Oreochromis niloticus: one gene and its partners. The protein of the gene in region 3 purifies or fractionates together with the protein of the main gene of each other region. This does not show direct contact. Links are inferred from orthologs where the notes say so. Each region holds a gene or a part of one and is shown on either strand. Other genes may lie near its edges. The genes, in order: kpna1, sumo1, slx4 and regulator of telomere elongation helicase 1.

The links.
Region 1: the proteins of slx4 (region 3) and kpna1 purify together in Homo sapiens (co-immunoprecipitation; 3 studies listed by BioGRID and IntAct, with this or other methods). This does not show direct contact. The link is inferred for Oreochromis niloticus from reciprocal best matches to the Homo sapiens genes SLX4 and KPNA1.
Region 2: the proteins of slx4 (region 3) and sumo1 purify together in Homo sapiens (affinity purification with mass spectrometry; 3 studies listed by BioGRID, with this or other methods). This does not show direct contact. The link is inferred for Oreochromis niloticus from reciprocal best matches to the Homo sapiens genes SLX4 and SUMO1.
Region 4: the proteins of slx4 (region 3) and regulator of telomere elongation helicase 1 purify together in Homo sapiens (affinity purification with mass spectrometry; 3 studies listed by BioGRID, with this or other methods). This does not show direct contact. The link is inferred for Oreochromis niloticus from reciprocal best matches to the Homo sapiens genes SLX4 and RTEL1.

Annotation. Positions count from the first base shown.
Region 1 is NC_031974.2:18,422,922-18,430,427, reverse strand, and holds the start of kpna1 (importin subunit alpha-5), read right to left. Parts: upstream 3,024-7,506; 5' UTR 2,908-3,023; intron 2,276-2,907; 5' UTR 2,268-2,275; coding exon 2,142-2,267; intron 1,994-2,141; coding exon 1,880-1,993; intron 864-1,879; coding exon 764-863; intron 478-763; coding exon 383-477; intron 200-382; coding exon 68-199; intron 1-67. Other genes in the region: nanos2 (nanos homolog 1), read left to right, coding at 4,229-4,834. UniProt on the Homo sapiens protein: Functions in nuclear protein import as an adapter protein for nuclear receptor KPNB1. Binds specifically and directly to substrates containing either a simple or bipartite NLS motif.
Region 2 is NC_031986.2:20,155,674-20,163,376, forward strand, and holds the start of sumo1 (small ubiquitin-related modifier 1), read right to left. Parts: upstream 3,007-7,703; 5' UTR 2,872-3,006; coding exon 2,860-2,871; intron 2,472-2,859; coding exon 2,397-2,471; intron 1-2,396. UniProt on the Homo sapiens protein: Ubiquitin-like protein that can be covalently attached to proteins as a monomer or a lysine-linked polymer.
Region 3 is NC_031971.2:30,579,024-30,585,996, forward strand, and holds the start of slx4 (structure-specific endonuclease subunit SLX4), read right to left. Parts: upstream 3,005-6,973; 5' UTR 2,800-3,004; intron 2,552-2,799; 5' UTR 2,509-2,551; coding exon 2,034-2,508; intron 919-2,033; coding exon 711-918; intron 249-710; coding exon 18-248; intron 1-17. UniProt on the Homo sapiens protein: Regulatory subunit that interacts with and increases the activity of different structure-specific endonucleases.
Region 4 is NC_031984.2:36,164,431-36,171,305, forward strand, and holds the start of regulator of telomere elongation helicase 1, read right to left. Parts: upstream 3,003-6,875; 5' UTR 2,719-3,002; coding exon 2,617-2,718; intron 1-2,616. Other genes in the region: ndufb11 (NADH dehydrogenase [ubiquinone] 1 beta subcomplex subunit 11, mitochondrial), read right to left, coding at 6,005-6,134. UniProt on the Homo sapiens protein: A probable ATP-dependent DNA helicase implicated in telomere-length regulation, DNA repair and the maintenance of genomic stability. Acts as an anti-recombinase to counteract toxic recombination and limit crossover during meiosis.

The DNA of each region.
Region 1 (7,506 bases), on a different chromosome or scaffold from region 3:
AATTTGACCTCAACAAGCTGCCAGAGGTCAGTGAACACCAGGAAAGGTAAAAATGAAGCCTCCTCACCTGTTCCTGTACGTCCTCAAAATCCGAGCTGAGCATCTCTATGAATATGGGCACAGCTCCTGCCTGGATTACCACCCGTGTCTGGTGAGATGTACCTGAAGCAATGTTGGTCAATACCCACGCAGCCTCAAACTACAATCATATTCAAAACATATGAAGAAAGTTAGTGCACTGAACTCACAACACATGCAACCTTTCAGATATGATGGTGAAACAGGAAGAACACGTTGCAAACAAACATGAGGGAGAAAAAACAAAAACAAAAATCTACAAGCTTCAAATAAAATCTAATATTAGTTTTCTAGGAAAACGTACCTGCAATGTGCAGTTTTCTCTTCTTTTCAGGAACTCAACAAAGCGCTCCACCACCCCTGGAGTGGCAATGACTTCATCAATAGGTGGGTTGGGTTCTGCGTGTGAGGTGACGTGGCAACAATTAATACAGGCATACTTAACAGCATTACACCCCATGTAACATTCACTCCGGCCACTCTGATATTGTGTAGTTATGAATTTTAGCAGGAATGCTTTGGCAGCGGTAAACTGTGAGATAGAGTGGCAGATTATGCAGCTCAAAAAAATGCTTTTGTCCTTGCATTGGGCCTCAATCAGTTATCATCTTTCCCTTGTAAGACATACTGAAACAAATACAAAGACAGGAGTGGCTGTAATGGGCAAAGCTAGGGCCCCACTTACCTTTAGAAAGTAGTTTCCTAAAGCGCTGAGTACCTATTAGCTGCTGCTCAGGAGAGCTGGAGAAAATCATCTGAATCATGTCTTCAGAGATCACCCCACCCTGTGTGGCACAACAATGGGGATTTTATATAACACATATGAATTGCTGTAACAGCTGACTTGATGTGTGCAGTGAGTGATGACATCTCATATGCCTGGATATCAGGAATCTTCTTGGTACAATGAGTTTTGTCAGTTGACGAAACTCGGGGGGGGGGGGGGGGGGGGGGGGGGTAACCACACTTTTGAATGTTTCATTTTCATTTTTGCCACTTGGAGCAGGGAGTCTGCTCAGTGGTGCTGAGAAAGCTGTAGCTCACTCCTCACATGTGCAATAACACTAAGTGCAATAATCTTCCTGGCATCGTTGTATTTTTTACTCAGTTGTATATAGCATTTGTATTCTATTTTTATCTTATTGTATATTTTATTCTATTTTATTCTACTGTATATAGTATTTTATTTTATTCTATTCTGTACAGTTGTGTACTGTATTTATTCTTATTTTATTTTATTCTAATTTTTGCTTCATAACTTTTGCACTGTCCACTTCCTGCTGTGACAAAACAAATTTCCCACATGTGGGACTAATAAAGGTTATCTTATCTTATCTTATCTTATCTTAAACATGCTTAGAGACAGTGCCCTAACTGATTAGAACTAAATGCATCACAGAGGAATTTATGCAAATTACAGTTACTAACATGCTTACAGACAGTGCCCTAACTGATTAGAACTAAATGCATCACAGAGGAATTTATGCAAATTACAGTTTGTGTGCTAAAATGTAACTTTGCATACAACATTGTGGTCTGGTGAGGCGAGAAACACACTGCACTGTGTACGAAAGATTCAACATGCTATTTGTGTGGTTTGCTATGTGTCAATGTCACTGCATACATTAAAATTTGTGTTGTTTTGAACATGACACAGAAAAGCTCCTCTACAGCCTCCATGAGTTTTACAGAAAAATGACCCAAGTAATCATTTAGACATAAAACCAACATGTTTAGATGCCATCTGATTACCAGAAAGGCGTGTATGTGTGACAGAGCAGACATATGAATGCCTTCTCACCATGAGTGGGTCCATGTTGTTGGCCTGGGACTCCAGATAGCCGCTATCAGCCATCCCATCCTCGTCCAGGGTGCCATCATCCTCCACAGTGGCGACATTTCTCCTCTTAAAAAGCTGCAACAGAAGTACAAATAGGCATTTCCCTTCCAACACTAAATTGCTGCAAACAAAGCATGGCCTCAAGTTTACTCCAAACACTGGCAGTATGTAATTTCAGGATCATTATGACGGTTTTAGTTGTACAGTATAACACATTGCTTACTTGCTCATCCTTCTTCTGTTTACGGAGCTGCAGGCCTTCCTCTTCCCTCCTCCTTCTCATCTCATCTGTGTTGAGAGACTTATTCTTGTAGCTTTTGAGGCGTGCATTGTCCTTGCCCTGACTCATTGTGCAGCCTGAGAAGAGTCAGAAGTCTATTATTTGGATATGCTTTGGAGCAAATCTTTCAAAGTTCCCAAATGAGAAACAACAAACCCTCCTGTTTTTTTTTCATATTTTTTTTTATTAAACACCACCAACTGTACTGCAAAGACTAGCAAGACAGACACCAACTAACGTAGCCAACGCTGGCATAGCTACCGGTGTGCATCATTCCTCTCAAAAAAGATTGTTCAACAAACAGGGTCATGTAAGGATAGCAGCTAGCCTATTAGCTTCCCGTGCCTTGATGCTGCGTGAAAAGAAAGCATCATTTTACCACCTACTGATCGGGGTCCAGTACTTCCGTTGTCAACTCACAACTCGGACAAGCACAAGGAAAACCCAAAAGCACAAGTCCCCCGGGAGGGTACACTTGGTCAGCTGGCTAATGTCAACGCCGCTCTTAGCCTCCTCTACTATCGAAAGCTAGCTGGCAGCCAGCGGCTAACTGCTGTAGCTAACGTTAGCTTAGTACCAAAATCCATTACATTAACTTTAGCGCAAACGACAGACCACCGTCTGAGACAGTAAGAATTCATTTAACTTCTCATTATGAATCGCTGCCACACATACACAGCTAAAATGTAAACGTTTTTCGTTATCTAACCTGTCAGATTGGGCTCCGTAATCCCCTTATTCGCTAGGCCACCGTTTGAACAGCCGTCGCCGGTATACTAGTGCGCATGCGTCCAACTAAACGCAAACGACCCACAACTCCCCCGCACGTATCTAAGCTCCGCCCCCTCCTACGCCTCTTTTTCCCCCCCTCTTCTTTTTGCTTTGTAAATTAACAGAAATGCGACGTTTGCTTCATAAACAGTTTGACAAACAAGCGGTGGCTGCAGGGTTACATTCATGGTATAACCGGCATACACACAGCCTCACTACGTGTGTGATTGTGCAGGAAATACAACTGTGCGCTCTTCGAAAATCCATCTATCCATTTATCCTCATCACTCACCTCTATGTATGTGCTCTCTATAAGTGCAGGTGCGGCTCTTGGATGCGACACTTCTCTAATGTAGTCTAGACGCTCCGGCGCCAGGGGTCATCGGGGGACACACACACAAACAACAAGTAACACAACATGGACCATCATCATCCTCAGACACACACACGGCCCACGAGCATCAGCACCATCAGATACGAGCACATTAGAAGTACGAATAATAATAAAACTGTAAACAAGTGACAAAATAAGAAAAGAAAGGGAAAAAAGAAAAAAAACGCAAATACATGCAAAACTAAGGGAAAGAAGAGAGATTTGAACTTAACAGATTAAATCACATAATTCACTTTGAATTTAATCTATCTATCTATCTATCTATCTATCTATCTATCTATCTTCATACAATTAAACACTGTGTGCGCGCGCGTGTTTGTGTGTGAGAGAAAGAGCGAGAGGGGATGAGAGGATAAAGGCCAACGCACTGCGACAGAAAAAAAGAAATGCATGAACTTTGCGTGACCCAACTATACCAAAACAGTTCACCTATTACGAGCCTTTAAAGTAAGCTTATTGTTAAATAGTCTTGATACATATTCAATCATCCAGGTAAGGTAATCCCAGAAAGTTGATTCTGTTCACCTGGACGTAGCGTTTTCAGTGCTAAATAGTCTCCACATCCCGGCTCTTATTATTTATTTTGCTGCGTTATTTTGCGAAATTATCTAATCTAAACATAAACTACAAAAAATGAATGCGATGCAATATTTTGCTCTTGGTGTTTTCAGTCCTTTATGTCCAGCTTATGCGTCATTTTTCTGTTATCAATCAACCAACCGATCATTCGATTAAAGGCCTGTCAACTGGCTTCGTAAAGGTTCTTAAGAGGTCCTAAGGTCACCAGAAAGCTACATAAAAGACTGCACCTGCACCAAAGTTCTTTTTTCTCTCTCTCTGCCTCCAAAAAACGTCGTCAGGCTGCATGCAATCTATAGGATCCAAACATTGTTACATTTTAAAACCAACTTCAGTGAGCTATAAATATGAGGCGCTCCAAACACACCCTCCCTTTGACTTCTGCCAAAAAATGACCACAATGCCGAGACGACTGGAGGTCCAGAGCTCGATCCTCCCCGGTGGGGACTGCTTTAACATGTGGCAGGACTACATGAATCTGAGCCAAGTGTTCGAGAGACTGTGCAGCAACCGTGAGGTTGAAAACCGAGACACCGAGCGTCCAAAGAAGGGACAAGCGCCCCCCTGGAGTAAGGTCCACACTTCCACTCGGGGGAAGAAATCCTCCAAAAACTCATCGCAGTCCAGTCCGACCAGCAGCGCGTCGGACACCAGCAGCAGCGCGTCATCCTCGGACTACTGCCGCTTCTGCAAGCAGAACGGGGAGACTCCGAGGGTGTACCGATCTCACAAGCTCAAATCAGACGACGGGAAAGTTTTCTGCCCCATCCTCCGGAACTACACCTGCCCTATCTGCGAAGCCACCGGTGACAGCGCTCACACACGCAGGTACTGCCCGCAGATGAAGTGGGAGGCGGCTGGGAGGATGGAGACAGGGGCCAAGTTCTGGTAGCTGTTGAAAACTGCGAGAAACTGTACATATTTACCGAACTGTTTGGGGTATGTGTTCATGTTGGCAGAGACCGTTTCAGTTCCAAAGACTGTTTCATGTTTGACTGTCAAACACTCCGCTACAATCTGCAGCAAGGAGCCCTCATCCATCACATCTGGAGCCACGAGCCGGAGCGCTCTCGCTCGCCAGTACGCGCAGGCTCAACGGGAGAAAACTGCGCCAGCTTTGGGGGTGTCCCAAGTTCTGGTAGCTGCTGAAAACTGAAGCTGAGAGAAACTGTACATATTTACCGAACTGTTTGGGGTGTGTGTTCATGTTAGCAGAGACCGTTTCAGTTCCAAAAACTGTTTCATGTTTGACTGTCAAACACTCCGCTGCAGTCTGCAGCAAGGAGCCCTCATCCATCACATCTGTGGAGCCCCGAGCCGGGGTGAGCGCTCTCAAACCTTGGAAAAAATTAAAGTCTTTAAAGTCCTCCAGTGTTGTTGTTGTTTAATATGATACAAAAAAGAATAAGTGAAATGAAGTGAAGTCACTCTATCAGCATTAGCGAGTTTATAGTAATTTAAAAAACAAACCAACAGCATAAAAATGTAAATTCTGGGAAAAATATCTAAAAAAAAAAAAAAAGCTTTCCTCTTATTGATTATGAACTTTTCGGTTTGTTTGCAGCCATCACATACACGTTTTTCTCTTAACATATAAAACATAAAAATATCACAAAGCAGTGTTCAAACTAATTCAAGTGATGTTTATGGGATTTCATAACTCAGGAGTCGTGGTGTTCATAAAAGAGCAACGTGCTTTGATCGGGCAATAAACCGCCTCTGCAGAACTGGTGCATAAACACGGGGCCCTTTTAAAGAGAGAAATATCTTATATCACTAGATTATTCAACTACATTGCCGCTTTAATGGGCTGTTCAAAGGGTGCAGGGGGTAGGAGGTCATTTTGAGGTATTTCATAGGTCACAAGTGAAACACTAAAGTGGCTAACCTTTCTGTGGAATTACAGAGATTTCTAAAAATGTGCCCTTAGTGTCAGTACATTGTTAATGAAAAAGAATAAGATAAAAGACACATGCAGCCAAAGGCGAATTTAGAGCCCTTTCTTTTGGTTAAAATGAAAATGCTATATTATCCCTCATGTCAGACAGGTTATTCTACAAAAACATCAGTAGTTTGTCTGTTTTTGGTATTATAGGAAATTTGAACTCTCAACTCTTCCAGCTGAAGTTACAGATGTAACTGAACTCACCAGAGAACATGTGTCATAAAAAATAATTAAATTAAATTAAAAGTAAAACTTCAAGGCAATAATGAAACGATTGTGTGAAGTGAGAAACTGAATTAAAGTTCAATAGTTTTAGTTTCAAAATAGATGGAAATACAGGATTTAAGGTCAAAACAGAGTTTTTACAATTCTAATGAGCGTCAAAGTCATAATTTAGAATGATCACCTTCATGCTTGAGTTTTCTTTGAAGAATAGGCGGTCACTCCTCTTAGGGGTTTGCTGTTATGTTTGGACACAACACTGGTTCAGCCCTTGTGTTACGTACTTTCAAAAAAATGCTTAAGTGAATCATATGTCAAAGCTAAGTGGCTTAACAAACAACAAAAGAGTCGTTTGAAAATGTTCAGGTACAAGAACTGGACTGAAAATGAATGAAAAAGCAGCCAATGTCCAGAAAAAAACTTATATATTAAGCTTATAAAATACAACAAAGTCTGGCTCCATGAAAGGGAAATATTAAGAAATGAGTGGTCACTCAAGACGCTTGCACAGTGGTGTATATCAAGACAAATACTTTAACATACATTTAAATATGCATTATAAAGCCTACATTTCTAAATATAAGCTTATCTGAATACAATTCCAGAACATAAATCTGAACATTGAGTGTTACACAGTATATTGCAGGCTTTGAATAATATGTGAACAAACTTTTCCATAAAAACTGTAAACCCCCCCCCCACAACAAACGGCCTTTAAATATGACATTACATACATATTTACTGGAAACCTTTTCTGATTGGTTTAAAAAAAATATGCAAATGTGGAAATGAGAATATCACAATAACTATAAACTAATTTGTGCATGTGCAAAAAGACAAAGAGTAGTAAAATAAACAGCTGAATGTATGTTTTGGATGTTATCTTTCTAAAAGAAGACATGGTCATGAGCTGATCATGTAAAAAAAAACTTGCCTGTGGCGTCCCGACTTATATCGCCTGTTTTTTTCCTTAAGAATCCATAAAAAAAACAATGTTGGATATTAATTTCCAAATGGAAATGTATGGAAAAAGTGCAGTAAACCTACTTCCACTGTCTTTAAATAATCCACAGATGTATAAAAATATGTCCTAAAGAACAGAACTTTGTATACTACGGATATCTTTTGTTGGATCACGTGATTCAAATAAGAAACGAAACAGCTGAAAGAAACGAAAATTGACCAAACAGGTGATCACAAACTCTTAACTCAGTGCAGCTGTTTACATGTGTTTCTAGTAAAGTCTTGCTCTGATGCAGGGTGTGTGGCCTTCTGTGTATTCCCATGTGCCTGATCATACATCTATGACCTTCTGTTTTCACGTGCACTCCAGCTCTATAGAACCCTAGCTGATTTATTTGGCCTGTCAGTCATTAACAAACATATCACTGACTCTT
Region 2 (7,703 bases), on a different chromosome or scaffold from region 3:
ACATTCACCATTCCAGACATACTGGACTGTCCTACATATAAGGTCAATTTCAGAAATTTGCCTCATGCGTATATGGAGAAGGGCAGGGGTTACTGTGAGGGGTCACATCTCAAGGTGCATGGCAGACCATCTTTGATGGCTTTGTGGCCAGCATCTGTGACATTCAGTGGTCTTTTTTGTTTTGTTAATGCCACACAAAGCAAAACAAACATAAAAACTTCGACACTACACACTAACGGTTCACTACAAACACGCTAAATATCTCAAATCTCTCAACTTGCCGTTTTCTTTTTCAGCACCATCACTCCCACAACTTCCCCCTGTTCCTCAGCAACCAAATGCCATGTGTTACCATATAACTTTTTCAGGAAAGTCATGTTTTGTTTTGTTTTCATCTCAAGCACTTTCTGCGTGCGAGCGCTGAATATCTAAGAAAAAGCATGGCATCAATTATTTATCACAGCTCTGGTTTTATCAACTCAAAGTCTGTTTTCCCTTTCAGAAACACAACAGAGAAACAGATTTCCCTGACGTTTGTGACATACAGGTGTATATCGTAGGGCTGCAACTAAAGGACTATTTTGGTAGACAACTAATCTGCCAATTTTTCTTTGATTAGTCAGTTGATCAATGACTATTTTAATAACTCTTATCTCCACTTCCTTTGGGCAAACCTCCTGTTCTAGGCTCCAGTACTTCAGCTGCTCAAGCCTGCCCACCTGTGAATATCACCCTGCTGTCTTGTCCCACAGCAAATTAAAATAATGACCCAGGAAACATTTGTTCACATAAACAAGCTCATCTATACGTGCTCAATGCCAGTTAAACTGTTTGACTATATACATAATTAATTACTGATATGGGCAAAACCACAAATTAACTACCTAACATTAGGTGGGAGAGGTTTACTATTCACAGGGGTGCACGTAAGTGGTCCGCAGGTGCGCACTCGCTGTCAAAATAAAAGACGCGCACCAGATAAGACGTTGCAACGCGCGTTTGCGTACATATGATTTTCTGGAGGACAGACATTTGTTTAGAACTCTTAAAGATGTCGAAGAAGCAAGCTCCTTTAAGCAATTACTTTGGTGTTCCTCCACCTCCAAAGAAATGTCAGGAGTCCGAATCGCAAAAGAAGCGCGTATTCTTGGAAAAGTGGTTGAAGGAGGTGAGCTGGCTTCAAACAAATGATGAACGCACAGAGATGTGGTGCAGAATATGCTGTGAAAATCCCACTCTAGCGGACAAAAACAGTGCCTTTTATATGTACGCAAACGCGCGTTGCAACTTCTTATCTGGTGCGCGTCTTTTATTTTGACAGTGAATGTGCACCTGCGGACCACTTTTGTGCACCCCTGACTATTCAGAATAAACACTAATATTAATGTGAGAAGAAAAAAGACAAACTAGGAGACAGTGTAGCTACTCCTGTTTAAAGGTTTACTATCGCATTTCACTCATTGGCTAACAAAACATGTTTGCTTAGCTAGCATCACCCTAAGAAGTTTCCAACAGGTAAGCTAACATAAATATTAGTGTACAAACACTAACATAAACAAGGTAACAATGCGACACACTAACTTAGGTCCCTAAAACTGTCCCAGTCAAGAGTTGAGGTCACAGCTCCAGGGTGCCGGCATTTTAAATCCTCATGCACTGCAAGTGCTGTCATGTCTTTGCACAGTCTGCATTTAAATTTGTCTGTTTTCTGCGTAATGCTTCCACATTGTTTACAATAGTATATTGTCTCATTAATGCTCTGCCTAACTATAAAACTATGTTGTAACAACCCTTAAAACATGGTTGAAGATTGTTTCCCCCATCTCTCGTTTGCTTTTAAACTTTGCCTTATCACTCGTTAAACACAGCGATACCAAAAGATAATAAATAGCCAATAATAGCCGATAACCTCAATTTGCTGATAAATCAGTCAGGTTCTAAGGGTAAGTGAATAAAACAGAAAGACACCCCCCATGTATGTCAAACTTGCTTCGTAATAAAGGAACCAACTTAAAGGACCACCACCTTTGAGATATTGCAGCATCAATCAAGATAAAGCCAAATATTATATTTTTGTTAAAAGAGCCACTGAGTAGATTTATGGTTGTGGATCTGTAGTTTCAGTTTATGTACACTTTATTTACTTATTAAAGTATAAGAATCCTACGAATGCAAATATGCAAATGTTTGGTCATGGAGTGTAGCAGGATTTTGATAACAAAAAAAACTGGTTATGTCTGATAAGACAGTGTAAAGTGACAGCCTTTACTCTAACAGTCTCTCCCTCCTCCCTGGAGCTGACTCTACACTGACACTGGTACAAAAAGAAAATATAACAAAAATAACACTAAAAATATGTAAGAAAGCATCATTAATATCATCTAACACATACACACCTGACCAATCACTTTTAATTTGATGTACTCTCCATCTTTTTTATCCCCTCCGTCTTGGCTGGATGGTTTTGTCTCCTAAAAATAAACAAACAAACCGTAAATAAACAAAACACCTCCAAGCACGACACACACACTCATATATATAAATATTTATTTAATTCCAAGCCGGGCCGACACCCGAGTGTCACTGCTTTGGAAAACCATGTCACTCTGTTTTGTAACAGTTTCTGTTTCGTATTACTGCCAACAACCATTGCTCCACAGCAGAACTTTAAATAAGAAACCAGAGCTAGCCGCTAGCGGCTAAATAAGCTGTGACTTCAGGCCCGAAGCTACACGAGCTAACAGCTAGCATATTAGATAACTCGATACGAGGCAGCGGGCATAAATAAACAGCAAGCAGCCTTTTTCCGTTTTCTGCTGGTGATAAAACAACACAGAGCCTTCGGAGCGCATTTCTTACCGTATCTGACATGCTTTTTCTCTGTGTGTGCCGAGGAAAATACACTGACAATAGATGAAGCGTTAGCTCACAGGCGCAGCTCCGGGTTGATGTTATTCGACAACCGGAATTGACGCATGGGGTTGCTTCTTTCAAAAATAAGAGTCTCTCCAAAGTGAAGCACAGACATGATCGTTTAATTTTGAAAAATATAGTTGGGGTCGCTAATCTTTACTCTCAAAAGAGCTAATTTTACCCTATTTTGACTGTAAAAAAACCAAAAACAAAACAACAACAAAAAACACACTTGAGCCCTACAATAAAGCCTATTACATATAAATTACCTTGTATCAATGTTACTAATAGGTGTAAATGATTAAAATGTATTCCTATCTTCTTTATTACCAAATAAACTGAATAATTGTGGTACAAAATATCCAGTAAAATGCTCTGCAAACCACTTTGAGCCCTACTTGTGATTTTACAAATATATAAAATTTGACATAGGCTACTTTTACAAAAGAAAAAAAATAATTTTAATTTCAATTTAAACAAAAAAATTTTTTTTTTTTAAATGCCAGTTTTGATGTAATTTTGACTAAAGTACAGATGTAGATAAACCTTGCTGGAAGTGAAAGAAGCCAAATTTGTCCACATACTTAGTTACCATTTTTCTTTCTTTAACCTTATGGATCTTGAATTGTTAGCTGAGAAGACCCAAGGCTTGAGAATTCAGCGAACAGGCTGCACATTTTTACAATCATAGAATATGAAGAGTTCCTTACACTAGTGCTGAATAAAGTTCCAAAAATGAATATCCACTGATCACATTTATATAGTGTTTTGTTGTTATTTTAAAAGAAGAGGAAGCCATCGGAGATGGGTAAAAAAAGAAAAAAGAAAAAAAAAGCCATATGTAGCGCAGGTTTGTGACCCTGAAACTGTGGCCTGTTGTTATGAGGCCAGGCTATGGTTTTTCTGTCCAAGAAGGCTGACCAAGATAAAGCCAGCAAAGGTCCACATATTGGACAGCTGTATTATAACCAGTGTTGGGACTAACGCGTTATTAAGTAACGCGTTACAGTAACTACGTTATTATTGTGGTAACGAGCACGGTAACTAGTTATTATGCCAAAACCAGGAACGCGTTACTCGTTACTGGGATTTAGATAGGCTCGTTACTCGTTACTTCGTGTGGTGGCTATCGGAGCTTCCACAGATTCAATAACATTAGCAAGTGGTGGAAGCCAGCAGGTGGATGAAGGAAAAGGGAGGCAAGAGGAGAGACCCGAAGCGGCCGCCGGTCCGCGTGTCAGGTGAACTGAACTTCAGGTAAGAAGTTATGACCTGCAGTCTATCTGAGTCAGATATAAACCAAGTTTAGGTGGAGTTTATTTTCGGTATGCTGACATTTTCGTACTGCGTGCTAGCTAGCATGACGGAGTTTCTATACAGCTGTGTGGGTGCTATGTTACTGATGTTGAACTTTATTTTGTTCATACGGTTAATTATTAGAGTTTCCAACCGTCCCCTAAAAAACAGAATCGTCTGGTATTCAGAGAAAATATTACGCGTTTCGTACTGAGGTGAAAAGGAACACAGTTTGTCCCGGACTTCAGCTACAATGAAAAAGACACAAAGCTGAAGCTGCACAGCTGCCTCTTCTTCTCTCATTCTCTCCCGTTTCTACTTCAATCACGAAACTGATCAATGATCAGCTGATCGGCTTTTCTCTCTTGTTTATTTATCGCCCACTTTGCGCCAGAAAGAGGAAACCAGCGGATGTCGCGTTAAACAACAGCAGCACGTTTAAGCTTGATCAGCTGTTGTTAGAATTTATTTAATATTAATTTCTAGTATCAGCTGATGTTTGCTGGAGCCACAGCTGTAAAGCTGCTGGTCATGATATCGGTTTGGTTATCTGGTGAGAGGGAAACATGCAGATGAAACCAGGAGATGTCCTTACTGAATCATCAGAGCTGAACAGGTGATGGAGAAACAGGTTTACCTTTTAGGTGACATGAACGAGTTGAAGGGAAGTTATGAACTGTTTCTGAGAGACAAATAACACCAGGATCCTTTTCTAAGTAGCTGACAGCTGGTAACTGTGCAGGGGCGGGTCTAGCAAAGTGTTGCCAGGGGGCCAGGTAGGGCATTAACAGGGAAAGGGGGACACAAGGAAATAGTTTTCTTTATTATTCTCATTTAAAATGTCTCGCTTTTAAAAAAATAATTATCTGAGTCTTACAACAAACAATTGATAGATTGATACATATATACCATCAGAACAGTGTACATCACTGTCACAACAGTGTTTATTTTCATTCAAAGGCTTTATGATTTTTCCTATAATGGTGGGCCGGTCTCTAGTCAAAATGCCCGGGACGATTTTTTTGTCCCAGTCCAGCTCTGTATGCAGCTCATCTGCAGTCTGGTGTTACCTACATCTTCCTATTCAGAAGGCAGAATTTCCAAGTTCTGAGTACAATCAAAAGCACCACGACTGCAGTTTTTGTGTTGGATGTAAAAAGCAGGCTAGAATCATGGCGGCGGTCAACGACGGTCCAGGCGTGGGATTTCTCTCGTGGAAATGTGCACATTATTTTTTCCTTTCTATTGGTAGGTGGCACAGTGCACTTGTGGCAAGTAAGCAAGCTAGAAGACTGGCAGTCTGGCTGGGTATCCAGTTACGGAAGCAACACATTAACAAGAGAATTCTGAGTAAAACCAAAGTTACTTTCCCTAGTAACTAGTTACTCTGAAAGTAACGAGTAACTTGAAGTAACTGAGTTACTTTTGATAGAAGTAACTAGTAATGTAACTAAGTTACTAATTTAAAGTAACTTACCCAACACTGATTATAACATATCACATGAAGAACTATATAAATTTTTGTAACTTCATAAATTTGAATTTCCCCATAACAGGTTATTTTTACAACAAGTGGCTCTGTGGTGTAGTGGTCAAAAAATTTGAGAGGGTGGAGACACAAACTCAGTCTCCACTCAGTGTCCTTAGTGTACGTGCTGGTCCCAAGCCTGGATAAATGGGAGGGTTGTGTCAGTAAGGACATCTGGTGTGAACTCTGTGCCAAGGCAACAACTTTTGCACATCTATCGGCTGTGGCACACCCTTGGGAAAATAAAGGCACAGCCAAAAGTGTTGTTTCGAAAATGTTTTGATTATTCTAAATCTACAAATTGTTACAACACTGAGTGAAACCCCCCATATCAGACAGCCCCGTATGAGCAAGCACTTGGTGACAGTGGGGAGGAAGAACTGCCTTTTAATAGGAAATGAACTTCCAACACAAGCAGATTGAGGGAGGGTCGGCCATCTGCCCGACTGGTCACCAAGGCAGACTATTTTACAATATAATATATGTATAATGTAATGTTTGACCATTAGAGTGTGATATAAATCTTTGCTGATAGTAAATGCAAGTTTATGGACACGGTAAATAATTAAACCCGGTATTTATTTAAAAAGTATGGAAAAATATCTATAAAACATTTAAATGGAAAATTCCTTTATTTTAAAATGGTACATTGTACTTTTTTATGGACTCTTCCCCCTTTTCAGTGTACTTTTATAGCACAGAAAAAACTTTTTTTTTGAAAACGGACTAATAATGTGGTGAATATGCAGCACAGAGTACAGACGTTTTATGTTTTTTAAAGAACAATGTTTATATTTTTATGGAAGGAATGCTTGCAGTCTCTGTATTTGACTTTTATCAAGCTGGGTGTAACAATCCAAAGACCAAAACCATAAACCACAATCTAGATAACACTGGGTCTAAATGCAATAATAAACTTAGACAACATGAACAAAACTGACACTAAAATATAATATAGAAACTCTTAGATGGAGAAATGTATTATAATGGGGCCCTTTCCATATCATACAAGTTGTAGGCACATTGCAGAAAACATAGGGCTGTTTTTGTTTTTTAAATTTTGATAATGTCAGGATGTGACACACACACACACACACACACACACACACACACACACACACACACACACACAGACACACAGACACACACGCACACACAGACACACACACACACACACAATGACACTGTGTTTTATTGCAGGATCATTTTAAAGCTCTAAAATATGTTTGTTTTTTGTTTTTTTTATTAACAAATTCATTTTATCTGGCTAATAAGAATGAATATAAACTAGATAAACACTGGCTTATTTGGAGTTTGAGGTTTTTAAAATCAGTTTTGTCTCACCTGAGTGATATCAGAATTTCCATTTGTGCTTGGTCTAAACTGCCCCTATATATGTTTCACATTATTTTTAAGCACCCAGACAAGTTGATTAAAGAGTTTGGCTTTTAATTAAAATTAAAATTCACATTTTAAATTATAAATACAGATCAATACAATACATATTGATCAGTCCATTAGTGACATCAAGTTATTGGCCTTTTAAATGCTGGTGATGTGGATATATAACAAAATACTTTTATAATACATTAAACATTTTGTTAAATTTTATTTAAAAAAATAAACAACCTAGAGCTGTATAGGAAAGAAAAAAAAATTAAAATCATATTATGCATTTGCAAAACTAATTTAAACAGAATTAAAATATCAATTGCTTCAAATTTACTCTTTTTCAGTTTAGTCCAGTTTCAGCAACACGTCAGCCTCAGGTGTTAATTATAATAATAGCAGTAAATACCACCATTACCTGACAATACCAACAAATAGCACCCATTACATAACAAAGAAACCTCCAAACTAATACTAAAAATAATAAAAAACTAAACTAAAATGAAAGAAGCAAATCCGCAGAAGCAAAAGATTTAAATTTATATTTACTTTATTTAAATGGGACAATGCACATTAA
Region 3 (6,973 bases):
GTTATCGTCTGACTTACAGTAAATTAGCAGTGGCAGCACTCTGGGTTTCCTCAGCTTGTCTCTGCAGAGCCTGTATCAGCACAGCTGGGGAGACGTCCATATCTGAAGAACAGCGCTTCAAGTGGACCGAGCGGCTCTTCTGGGACTTGAACTTCTTACCACAGATGGGACAATCAGGAACACCAGAAGGTGGTGGAGGAGGAGGTGGAGGAGCCGCAGGGCCACTCTTTTCACTCTCATCCAAACACCTGTACAGAGAGATTTTTGACAAAAATGAAAAAATATATATATTTTGATAATTCAGAGAGACACTTTAGGTAAAAGTTCATGTATTTGCAAAAAAAAAAAATCAAGCATTTTCTAAAACACAAAAACTGAGGATGATTTTTTTATTTGTGGACTTTATTTGTGGAAAACTCTTATAACCTCAGGATTTCATTATTTTAATCAGATGTTTGTCATTATACTTTATGAAGCTATGACCTGAAAATTAGAAAAGTTATTGTTTTATTTTCCGACAAATCATTTAAATGCAACTTGGTGCACTCACTGAGTGGAATCCTTGAACTCCACATGGAGGTTACTTGTCCAATAAACAGTCTCTTACAGTGCTTTAACAGTGAAGACAGACTTTTTAATGTCATTAAGCCTCCCTGTGTGCCCACTAGTATTTAAAGCTATCGTCTAAAATGCAATCAAAATCCTCAGACCTGTTAAGATGCTGTGTGCGACCCTCTGCTGTCATGTGTGTTAAGTCTCTGTGGCAAATCTGACAGAAGAAAAGCCCTCCATCCTCCAAGTCCACAATCTGGGCCTGCGCTGCCTCTCTGTCCAGCTCCTGCTGCAGCTGCAGAGCAAGAGCCTCATCGTTGTCTTGAGGCTCTGGAGGAAGAGCAGAGCTGAAGGTATCTGGAGTATCTGCGAACAGACCGGAGACAGAGAAATATACGGGTTAAAGTGAGGGATAGCAAGAATAACACAGCAACATTTCAGAAAACAGGATTTCAAATTAAGGAAAAGGTATGGGCCACATTTCCTATTTTTCAGCGATAGAACCCAGTCCCTGGGTAACAGGTTGATAGTAGTTTGTCAAATGTCTACAGTTTATGAAGGTAAATTCTATATGGCCTATACTGAAATATCATGACTCAAATTTAAAGTGTAAAATTCGGAAAAAAGTATGTCTTGGATCAATACAGACACAGAAAACCCTACACAAAATATTACAGTGTTTATAAGGTCTACCATTGTCTTCATATTGTTGTTGCTTTTGCCCTGTTTAGACTGTCAGGCACATTAATACTATCCTTGTGTCATAAATCACCCCGGACACTCACTTTCAAACACTCCACCCTGTCAACTCTGTCTTCTTCACCTCTTTTGTGCACTGCTCATTGCTTTCAATGGCTGAACTCAGGTATTTAAATTCATTCACCATTACTACCTCTACTGTTCACGGTGTACCCTGTCTCTCACCCTATAACAGATGGAAACAGCTTCAACCCCACAAACCTGAATTGGATAAGCATAAGAAAGTAGTTGTATGCTTATTATAGTTAAGTAAAACTGAACTAAAAGCTATAACTTGGTGTGAAAATAACCTTTTAATTATGTAATATAAAAACAAAATCTAGACTAAGTAAAAATAAAATAAGAATGTAAAGCAAATGTCTTTAGATTTTGTCAGTTTGATCAAATTTGTTATTGCAGCCAGTTTGATCAGACTCTTGTGCATCTGTTAATCCAGAGAGCAGAGAGATGTCTCCTTGGCTGGATTTTTATTATTGTTGTCTGTTAATTCTTCCCATTAGATAACAAATGAAAACTGAATCTAATAAAAACCAAAGCTAAACATTTAAAACTACTACATTAGTTTTAACTACATTAAAAACTAACCCACTCTAAACTGCCTGAACCTAAACTGAACACAAACACAACAGAAATATAACTAATGAAAAAACAAAACTGAGCAGGAAAAGAGAGCACATCAAAGTAAGGGATGCAGTAGACTGGAGAGGATCATGTCATCTCACCCTGATTTTTTTGCAGTGTAAAAGGAGTACAGTTGCTCTCGTGGTTTGCTGGTTGGATGTGGGTTTTGTGCACCATCTTCTGTGGACTATCTCTCTTGAACTGCTTCATCCTCAGGAGCACTTTGTCTTTCGCTCTTAGGCCGCTTTGAGGACTTGGCCCTGCTTCCTTTAAAGGCTCAGCTGATGGCCGAGCATCCCCTGACTGATGTCCAACCTCTCCATTGACCACACGCTTTTCTCCTCCACCATCATCGCCAGCACCATCACCAGCAGCAGCAGCAGGCTGGGTCCAAGATAGCCTTTTGATAGAGTTAACAGCTTTTTTGTTATTTCTCCTTCTCTTATCCTCTTCGCTCGCTTGACTGGAGGTCTGCCTCTCTGCTTTCCTCGCCTGTCTGGCTTCACCTGGTTTCTTGCGGACTCGTCTTAGACGCTTCGGGCTGAAATCTTCAAAATCCTGGTCCGAGTCATCCATTATACTGTATTTTTCTTCGCAATAAGAGGCTTTTACGATCACCCTGCAAAAAAGACAACTAGTTTAAGCTGGATCCACTGATGTGAAACGATGGAGGGAAAAAGTTTAATTTGCATGTAAGTAAATTTTGCGCGGGTAATTCTGTATTCAAATAAAAACAGCGATGCTATAATTACATGCACACTGAGACAAATGGAAATAGTTATATGTGGCACAGATGTTTGACAAATCATGCCACAAAAGGTATGGAGTGAAACAGCTAGCCACTTATGCTAGCACCTCTATACTTACCCATATTTGATGAATTAACTGTTTAATTTTCTGCCTCATCGTTTACAGGGGCCGCCGAAGAGTTTATTCTCATTCATTTAAAACTATATGTGGCGCTATAGAGGTTTTTGTTAACTAAAAAGCCTGGAAGAGAGCAAACAGCACTTGTTTTCATTTCAAAGCTACTCCCCAAACCGCTTCATTTAAAACTTCCGGCCATGTGACGGTGAAATGAACGAATAACTGGGTGTTGTCGAGGTCATGTGACTAAGGCGAGCGGCTTTGGGCGAAATCTGTAAATAACAGTTTAATATAATCATTTATAAACGCTTTATTAAAGATTTCCAACACTTTATTAATCGTTTTAAACTAAATAATGATTTTTTTTTAAACCAGTTTAAGACCCAGGCTTGATCAACATGTTCCTTAAAGCAACCACACTGCAGCAACTCAATGAATTTACACATGTTAACATGGTCAAGATGACCTTAAGTTCAAACCATACCACCGCAATGGGAAAGAAAGGTCATTTTAAGTGACTTTGCATGCGGCATGATTGTTAGCGCCAGACGGACTGGTCTGAGTATGTAGAAACTGCGGAGCTACTGAGATTTTCCAAAACAACCATCTCTATGGTTTATAGAGAATGGGCCAAGAAAGAGAAAATATCCAGTTAGTGGTAGTTCTCTGGAACTTGTTGATGTCAGCGGAGGAACGCCAGACTATTCCAGCTGATAGAAGGGCAACAATGACTCAAACAGCTGTTGCAGCCGAGGTATCCAGAAGTGCATCTCCGCACGCATGACACCTTGAAGCAGATTACCTAAAGGAGAAGACCACAAAGCCTACCTGAGCATTGTTGCTGATCATGTCCATCACTTTATGACCACAGTGTAAAGATTTTATCCATTTCGGATGGGTAAGTTCTCTGTACTCAAATAGCCTCCACAGTCACCAGAGTTTTGGGATGTGGTGGAACAAGAAATTCACATTGTGGATGTGCAACCGATAAATCTGCAGCCACTGCGCGACGCTGTCATCAAAATATGGACCTAAATCTCAGAGGAATCTTTGCATTAAGGTAGTTCTGAAGGCACAGGGGTCTAACCAGGTACTAGCAAGGTATGACTTATAAAGTGACTGGTGAGTGGATAGGCTTTTTAAGATTTGATGAATACTGTTAGAATGTGAAGGCATGTAGGAAGCAAGCAAATTCAGAAACATCTTTACTATACACAGAGGAGTTTACAGTTTACTTCTTTGTGTCCAAGTGTATTTCTGTGCCTGGAGTTTACACAGAGGGACAGACACCGACTCAGACATCATAGACTTTTTAAAGAAAAAGACTCCAGTAATACACACTTAAAAGACCTTTCCAAACCTCATGACTTGAATTTGAGACAGGGACTAAATGATGTTACCCGACTGAAAATTTCATTACACTTTCACTTCTTAATGCAATTTTTATATTTTGGAAATTAACATTTCAGATTCTAACTGGCTGCTGCATGAGTGTGACTTCACCAACTGGGCATCACAGCACATTTCCCATAGCCATTCAAATGGCAGAGACTCAGTGCAAGACTTGTGCAATCAAGATGATCTCCAGAAGATCAGAAACATTTGTATGGAGTGCCAAACAAGCTATTTTTTAAGTGAAAGAACCAGAACTCACATTTGTGCTGCTGTGTGGATGTGATTATGCTGCACTGGCAGAAACACAGACAACTGCTAAATCATTACCTGCTCTGATGAGCCTTGATGCTGCCACATTCAGATTGTAAAGTCACATCTGGGACTGAAAAATTAACCCAAACGTGAAGTGCCAAAAATTGTAGTTCCTTCACCGGCCACGAGGCTATCTACACTGCAATAGTGAGCCAGTTCCCCTAAACTCCTATATCAAAACAGCACTCTACAGATTTCTACACTCCTTCATAAGGACTGTTTTTTTAATAACTTACTTTTCTTAAAGTTTATTAACGTCTAAAGTTCTGGGTGTAACCACACACAGCTATATCCGTTAAATTTGCCTCCTCCACTAATGATTACTTTGAGCCACTTAGCTGCACTAGCCTTTTAGGGCGTTAATTTGCACCCACCTGCAATCCACCATTCCACCACTTCTGTTTGCAAAAAAACAAAAGGTGGCAGCCAAAACACAAACCTTAAGGATTCACAAACAAATGGATAAATTCAGTTTCTGCATCTACCTTTTATGTACAGTCTATGCTACATTGTAACAACTCCTGATGCTGATGGTGGATGTCTTATTGGACTGCTTAGCACCAATCACACATCATTTACATGGTACAGCCAACCTGAACTACTGTTTGTTATGTCCATGTCTTTATGACCAATGGCTATTTCAGCAGGTTAATGGACATCATAAAGCTCTTATTATTTGAGACTATTTTCTTCTAAATGACAGTTACTTCAGTGCGCTAAAATGTACTTCACAGGTTTCACAGAGCATTGTGAAGGTGCTGCACAATGCCGTCATGTACCAAATGTCTCTGAGGAATGTTTCCAGCAACTTGTTCAATCTAGAACACCAAAAAATTAGCAAATGTTTACCTGACATAGTGGTTAAAATTAGTATTTTCTGTAATCACACTGGTTCTCACTAGACTTTTTGTAGAGCCTAGCAGGTTACTTATTAATGCTTTGCACTTTGATTGAAAGAAGGGGGTCTTACATTCCTGCTAATAATAAAAGTGCCAATTTTTGCTGACAGTCTGGCTTTGGTGGAAATGCATGAAACCGGTTCTAGTTCAGGCACCAGACTCACATGGGTGGAAAAAAGGCATCTGTCACTTTTTGTAAAGTGCTGCATCGATAAATATCATTTTACTAAACAGAACAATTCAACTCCATCTTTTTAAAAGTTCAGGATGAAGACTAAAGTTGAAATAAATTTTAGGTGACATGAAAACCAAACAGTTGTTGCTGGTAATGTAACACCGGAAACAAATGAATACACACCAACAGGAGGAAGTGATGCCTCATTATTTAGTCAACAGAGTACTGGAGTTCTTCTGTTGCACACAGTTTATTTAACAATATGGTATATAAGTAAGAAATGAGTCTTTTACCAGTTTATACAGTGATTTCATTCGCTCTTCCTTATATCTATAGTATTTTGTTTAATAACTTGATTTACAATAGGAGAAAAAGTAAATCCCCCCAATTCAAGTTTTTTTTGTGAGAGGAATGAGGGTTGATGACATTTAGTTCTCCTCCAGGTGAATCTCAAATGTGCCCTTCATCCCCTGATAGCACACAACTTAGTGTAAAATTTGGAGAACTGGGCATCATCCGAGACATTGCCTACAAACAACCACTGATCATTCCACCTCAGCTTAGGGGGCTGGTCTCTTTCTCGCACTCTCTTTACACTTTACAACATTTGTATGACAAAAAAGTATGACAAATTCTTTTTAATGTCAAAGCAACAACTTTCTACACCTGCAAGACAACGTTTCCAAATTCCAGGCCACTGAGTTGTAGGCTGCAGTCCTTATTGGTGAACCAATCAGCTGTATTTCTCTTAAGCCGCGTATCCACCCAAAAGTACCCGGAAGTCGTAGTCACAGAAATTTTTGTTTCCAAGGAAATAAAGTTTAAAGGCCCGTGAACATTAAGCAAAACGAAAAAAAAAAAAGAAAAAAAAATCCGCTGACATATCAAAAAGAGATGACTGCTTTCACACCCTGGAGTTGGTGGTAAAGACGGGTACTCCAATCAGAAATGTTCAGCGCTTCAAACCCAGGGACTTTTTTTTTGGTGGGGGTTAAATAATTACCCCAAACGTAACTGAAAGTATGGTCCCTAGTCCCTGGTAAAAGTTCCTGTGGTGGAAACGCGGCTTTAGTGACTGTGAGGGTTTGTGTCAGTGTCTTCATGTGTTCCTGCATACATGCCTGTTTACACAAACTGCTGCAGGCCATTTCCTACTTTAATACAAATGAGTGCTCTTCATACACACAAAAAGAATGGGAGCGGTCACTGTCCCTGAACGCATCTTCTTGCAGTAATAGTACAACACTAGATTACAATTGCCAGGAATGACAGCTTGTGAAGATAACAAAAACCTGGCCCAATTCCGAGACAAAATATTTTACAGTTTCCAAAGAAAAAAGAAAAAAAAGAAAACAATTCTCAAAGGTACAAAATAAAGATATGAATAATATAA
Region 4 (6,875 bases), on a different chromosome or scaffold from region 3:
AAAAGACGGATTTTAAAATCAGTTCTCAATTTTACATGGGGGCTATTGTAAGGACAGGCCCATGATGTGAAGGCTCGTTTCATATCTTTTTTTCCCCATCAAGTATTAAAACAGATCTGGACTGTAACCAAGTCAGTTTATCACCGATCTCTTTTACTATGGAGGCATGCTGAAAATCAGTGCCTGTTTACATGAAACAACACACTCTGGAACACATTATCGTGTGTGCTGCCTTTTGGTGCCACTGTCAAAAAGTCAGGTTCCTTTTTTGTCAGGGCTAGGTCAGGTGATCCTGAATCCATCCTTAGTTATGCTTAGGCTGCTGGGAACTTCCCATGATGCACTGCGCGTTTCGGCGTCTCTCACCCCTTCTCACTCACTGTGAAGAGTGGTGTTCAGCACTCTGCCTTAGATTATGAATAATTATTAATCTCTGTCTCTCTTCCACAGCATGTCTTTATCCTGTCTTCCTTCTCTCACCCCAACCAATCGCAGCAGATGGCCCCGCCCCTCCCTGAGCCTGGTTCTGCCGGAGGTTTCTTCCTGTTAAAAGGGAGTTTTTCCTTCCCACTGTCGCCAAAGTGCTTGCTCATAGGGGGTCATATGATTGTTGGGATTCTCTCTGTTGTATTATTGTAGGGTCTACCTTACAATATAAAGCGCCTTGAGGCGACTGTTGTTGTGATTTGGTGCTGTATAAATAAAACTGAACTTGAATTAAAAACCAATATGAATGTACAATCATTTCTTCAACCCAGCTGTAACTGTAGCGACACAATGGAAGAGGTTACAAAAATCCAGTGGTGCACACATCGCCACAACATCGGCATTACATAGGAATGTATTCGATAAATCACACTTCATCCAGTATAGCACAGCGACATATTGCCGACGTCATTTACCTCCATTTCACCAACACTTTTTCCCTCTCTGGCCAATCCTCCTGGGGATTTAGTGTGTCTTGAAAATAGAGCATGAATTTTGAATGAAGCTAGCAGTTTGAAAATAGAAGACACAGAAGATGAACAGTCATTTACATAAAATAAAGTGAATTTTCATATCACATTAACATGTTTGTCTGAAAACTATTGAGAGTTTACTAACACTAGTTAATGATTATGTCCTGTTGCGGATGGCACCCTGTTAGTAAGCTTTGCTTAGCTGCTATGTTGGGCAGATAACACATTTCATGCCAGCGTTCCTCAACCATAAAAGTCAAAGTACATTAAAATAAATTATTTTCCAGCATTTTGTTTTTTACCACAGAGTAACTCCATTAACACATTCACCTGGAAGAAACCTCTTTAGTTGAATGTTGCGGACTCTGATTACAATTAGTTCCCTTAATGGTTGCAATCTTAGGAGTAAAATTCATATCAAAATACACACACCTGAAGATGATGAATACTCTTCTACAAGAAGAAGATGGAAAGTCTTGCCGTTTAAAATTCATTCATTTTGTGTATTTGTACAGTCCTGAAAGATATCTGTGCATTCAGCTGCACTCGATTACTCCAACTGAAGATTACAATTTCATGTAGTAACTTATCCCCCCCTTCCCTTAAAGTGCTTTGTTCCTTTATTCATTCTGCTGTGGGCTAAGAAATATTTATTTCATTCAAAATTTGAAAATGTGGCAAATTTATAACAGAACAATAATAGATTCTGCATACAGCTGGCTCTTTTTCCCTTTTCTTTTTAAATGTGCTGCATCAGAATTCCCTTCAGTCACAGTCTTGCTGTGAAATATTAGTGCATGAATGTATGTTTGAAAATAAATCAACATGCAAAACCATTACTTTCTCCTTTATTAAGGATATGTCGTCTTTCTGTCATCTTCAGTGCGTTTGAGGTTTCAAAAGAGGTTATACATGTGCCTGGATCACTTTTCATTCCTGAGCAGATGTTTGCAGTAGCCTACACTGAATTTTAGAAAGGAACTAAGTATCTAAGTGCTTTTTTTTTTTTTTTTTTGCTTAATTCATAATGCTATGTATGAGCTGAGGTATATTGTGTGTTATAAAAGCTATCGCCAGTAGTGGGCACCACGCCATGTTATGTGTGTGTGTGTGTGTGTAACTTCTTCAGGTATATGATAACAAAGAGAAGAAGACGGAATGTAAACAGCTAACGTGTGTATCTGTCTGACTCTTTATAACTCCTGCTTAGTGTACCGACACAACAGGGGGAAACATGACACATAATATTCTATTATGGTAGAATATAGGAATGCTCGCTGTATTTTAAAGCACACATTACACCACGACTTGAGTGAGAAGATCAGCCTGTATGAATATGGCACAGAGAGCAGTAGGAAGTCGCTAAAGCAGTGCTAAGATACGTAGATGCCACGGCCACCTGAAACGCAGGCAAAGCAGCACTAAGCGACCTGTTCCCAAAGATGAAACAGCGCCTATCCCGACAGACACAGCAGATATACGTCGGCAATACGTCGTTGTGCTTTCTGGGAAGCGACGTTTTGCGCGAGCAGATGCGAGATCACTTCTGTCATGCGGCAAACGGTGAGCATGGTGGCCGTATAGCCGTGGCTGTTCAGTACTGCCCCTTTGCAGTTTGTTTCCATTAACACACATACACATGACAGTCGATTCTTACCTTCTGAAGACATTCGATTACTTTGTTCATGTATGCCTTCTGACATTCGTACGGAGAAAAAGGGAAATTTACAGTCACTCCGCTGAGAGTCAGTGAAGGCATTCTGTCCTCTGGCGTCAGTCGGCAGCAGCATAGACGAAAATCGTTGTTGTTGTTGTTTAAAATCCAGAGAGGTACTTCTTCTGTTTGACCAGTTTAAATGGCTGAACTGTGGTATAATGTACTTTTATCATTGGCTCGTTTAGGCTTAGTAGAAAGGAGTTCTCAATCCCAACTATAGTTGTTTCGCGCCAGCTTTCACTTAACTTGCTCATGCGCACTGTGACGCTGACGACTGGTGCGTTCAAAGGGTCACGGAATCCTGAACACTCCAACATCAACCTTTTATCTAATTTTCTAACCACTTTTCTCGTCTTCGATGGAAAAAGTGAGCAGGTCAGTAAGGGCAAATGGGTAGGATAACTCATAAGGAGAAAAGCGGCGCACTGAGAATCGCAACGACTTTTTACAATCTCCAAAGTATTGATGTCTGCCACGCTGAAACTACGACGTGCAGAAGATGGACTACAAAACGCGCGTCGATGCCGGTGTTGTACCTACAAATGCCGCAAATGACTTGGAATTGTAGCGAGGCTTTGAAACAATCTGAAACCCATCTCCACAGTGACATCTACTGGCCAATTTGGCTATTACTACATCTTGAAAATACCTTTCTGTGTAACAACGACGCAGACATGCCCTGCACAATTCCAAACAAAGCCACTTACTAATTACTACTCAGACTGTCAGTAATTGTGATCAGCAGATGTTTTCATACAAACAAGAGAAGAAAAATAATGAGACTGTTAAAGACACATCTGTGACTATAGTGATCGGTGTGCTTCAGCAAATTTCTCCATCTGTTAACATTCGCGCTGCTTTATAAAGCATACAGAGAAAAGACTGCGGTGTTCACTGTAACGACCACACTGATTTACAGCTGATTTTGCTCACAGCCCTGAAACTTTGAATGTGTTTGTTTGACTTTTAAGTTTTCTAGGAGTTCGTGTCATCAGGTTTGTTTTACACACTGTCAAGCAAAGCTAGAAGCTGGCATAGCGTTTGGTTTGATTTTAATTAATTTAAAAATATACATTTAAATGAAAAGAATGCACGTTTTTTTCCTTCTTTATAAAAAAAGTTAACATTTTCATGGGATAATTCTGACCAATAGTGAACCTGCATAAGAAAAAGAAAAAGAAAAACACATCTGTCATGAAAATTGTTAAGAAATAGATCGCCTGTAATTAATTAATATGTTTTATTGGCTCTTTTTATAGTATAAACATATTCTTTATGGGGACGCATATGTAACTGATTGTAGTGAGGATGAAGTCACTTAATGCTGCAAATGACATTTTCTGTTGAAAGCAGACAAAACTAAAGAACAGTTTTGATTTTCTCCTTAAAGCAGGTGTGTTGTTGTTATTGAGATGTTTTAATAATTTTACAGCACAGTGTGCCGCTCTCGCTCTCTCTGCTGATAGGAGTGAATGGAGCTCACCCACCAGCCTCTGTCTCTCACTTTCTCTCAAGTAATCATTAAAATAAGCTATTTATGAATTATTTATAGATCTATATAATGTTTATTTGACTATCCTTTGGATTCCAGTGTTTAAGAGATTGGATAGTCTAGTCTACACAATCCACAGCAAAATAATAATGACAGAGAGGGTATTATTTTCTTTTACACATGCGGGTATAGTAAATTGAAGCAGTAGTATCAAAAGCAGTAATTACAAGCCCCAGTCCAAAAGACTGGTTAATAGAAAATGCGCCTGGCAATGCCTGGAAGCAGCCCATACAGATCCCCATTTATTTTTCCTCCTCAATAATTCTTGTATTTTTTATGAAACTGAGCATAAATTAACTTACCGTAAGTGTATTTATTTGAAAGGTAGTATGCTGACGGTACGCTCTACCAGCCCTGGCTTCATAGCGTCTGCTTTTATTGTGACTTGTTTTAAATTGCATGCCCTCTTGCTTGTCTTTTTGATGCTCACATCTCCTTCTTCACCTTTCTGCTCTTTTGGTGTCTCACCAATCTGCTGAACTCTTCATCTTCTCTCATCTCAAAAAAACCACAAAAAAACAAAACAAAAACTTGACCACCATATTTTTATTACCTTAATTTCAGACTCCGCTTTTAACTAACAGACTGATGAAATTCACTATGATAATTTACTAATCAAAAACAAACCATAATACCAACGGCTCTATGATGTGTGAGAGACGGCTACTTTGTGTAAAGGTTTACCCGTGCTGTCAAATGTATTTATCCAAAGCATGCATTACACACTCAGTACTTACATTTAAATAAAACATGGGAGTGTTATACACAATGGGGGAATTTAGGTCCACGTTAAAGGAGCGAGAGAATCGCTCTTTTGCAACCATTTTGAATGTTTGCTATTACATATGATTCACTTGTCTGTACTGAATATTGTTATGTTATACTATGTTGTGACTTCTGCTAGTGTTTATGGAAAATACAAAGGCTTCACATTGTTAGTTCACTCTGCATGTCTGTGGAGTGAACAAACTGTATAAAGTGCAGGTTGTGAAAGTGTAGCTGTAAGTTCTAGTCTATTTCATGAATACAGTCAACAGGTAGTAGCGTACACGCAGGATAAAATGACAACATAACTTGGAAACTGATGTAAAATTTATCCTTTTTGATCTAAAACTTTTTTTAAGTTATTTGAGTTTTATTTCAGGTCTTTTATTAAAATTAGTATATGTTAACAGTACTTTGTCCCAACAGTAACTATGACTTGTGTAATATGTGTAGTAGTGTGATTACTCTAATCATAGTGTCTTTTAGGATGAGTGGTTTGTTTGTAAAAATGTTTCAGAGTAGTTATTATATTCCCTCATTGTCTTTCATTTCTAGAATTATATCAGGCTAGGAGCTTTATATAAGTCACGTAACTTAGAAGTACACCAAATGACTACACAGTTATTATGGTTAAATAAGTAGGAAAGCATGTTACATAGTGATTTGTAAGGTCTGAAGTTACAGTGTATTTTTTAAATAGAAGAGGCTGACAGTTGACATATTCTATGTTTTTATTGGCTCGGATTGGTAGGATAGGATTGTCTCCTACTGTAAGATTTTTGTCACCATCTTACAATACTTACAGTACATTACAAACCCATTACAAAAACACAGGTACACGACTGGCCGACATCTAAATCGACATCCGCTCATAAGCAAGGCTTTGAGGAAAATGCCACTGCAAGTTATCACTGTCCACAAAAAATAACAACAAAATTCAACACATACGTATTTTATTTTTATCAGTGAAATACAATAATCAGGTATTACAGTGAGTGGACAGTGGACATGTTACTGTCCTCCAGCTGTGGGAAGAATGATTTTGTTTGTGTCATAGTAGTTCTCCTCTATGAGAGGGACACCATCGGCCTCGCGCTGCTGAATCAAACGTTCGGCCTCTCTTCTGGCCCACTGCCGCATGCTGGAACACAAAAATGCACCAGTAAGAAAACCAGAATGAAACCTATAATTAAACAATAATTAACTCAAGTTTACGTGTAAACATTTCATTATTCCACTTAGACCTTCATGAATTCCAGAAAGAATATGAAATTGTGATTGTTTAGTCAACAGGACAACTTTCTACTCCATCCATGTTAAATCAGACTCAGAGTTGAAGGGTACATTTTTGGATCTTTTCTTTGCATGGTTTAAGTGAAGTTGTTAAGTTGCACCAGGCCCGTCTTGCATCCTGCCCCACCAACCTATCCAGCTCACCACCACAGTCATCAACTAGGAGCTCACCCTCTCTCTTCACGTGAGAGTCTAGAACATAAGCCGCACATTAACTTACAAACGCTGCTGTCTGCAAGCCTCATGTTATACTTTAAATCCTCTATATAAGGCAATTCTAAAGAGTTTTGCAAATACTTTCATTGTATTTACATTTTAAAAATATTCCAACTGTAAAATTTAAGTTTCTTAATCTCAAGTCACTGTTTAAAAAAAATAAAGTGTTATTAACTTGATATTCAGTTAGCGTCTGCTGTGCTCCTAAGTATTGCTTATTAATATATTGATAAGCAGCAGCTACAGTCCTGTGACAAAGTCCAGTGTCACAGGACTTTGTCAAGTTTAGACAAGACAAAAACACAGATGATCTAAGCAGTTGTATTTTTAACAAAAATAAAATAAAATACATGAGAACAAAATACTGAATGTA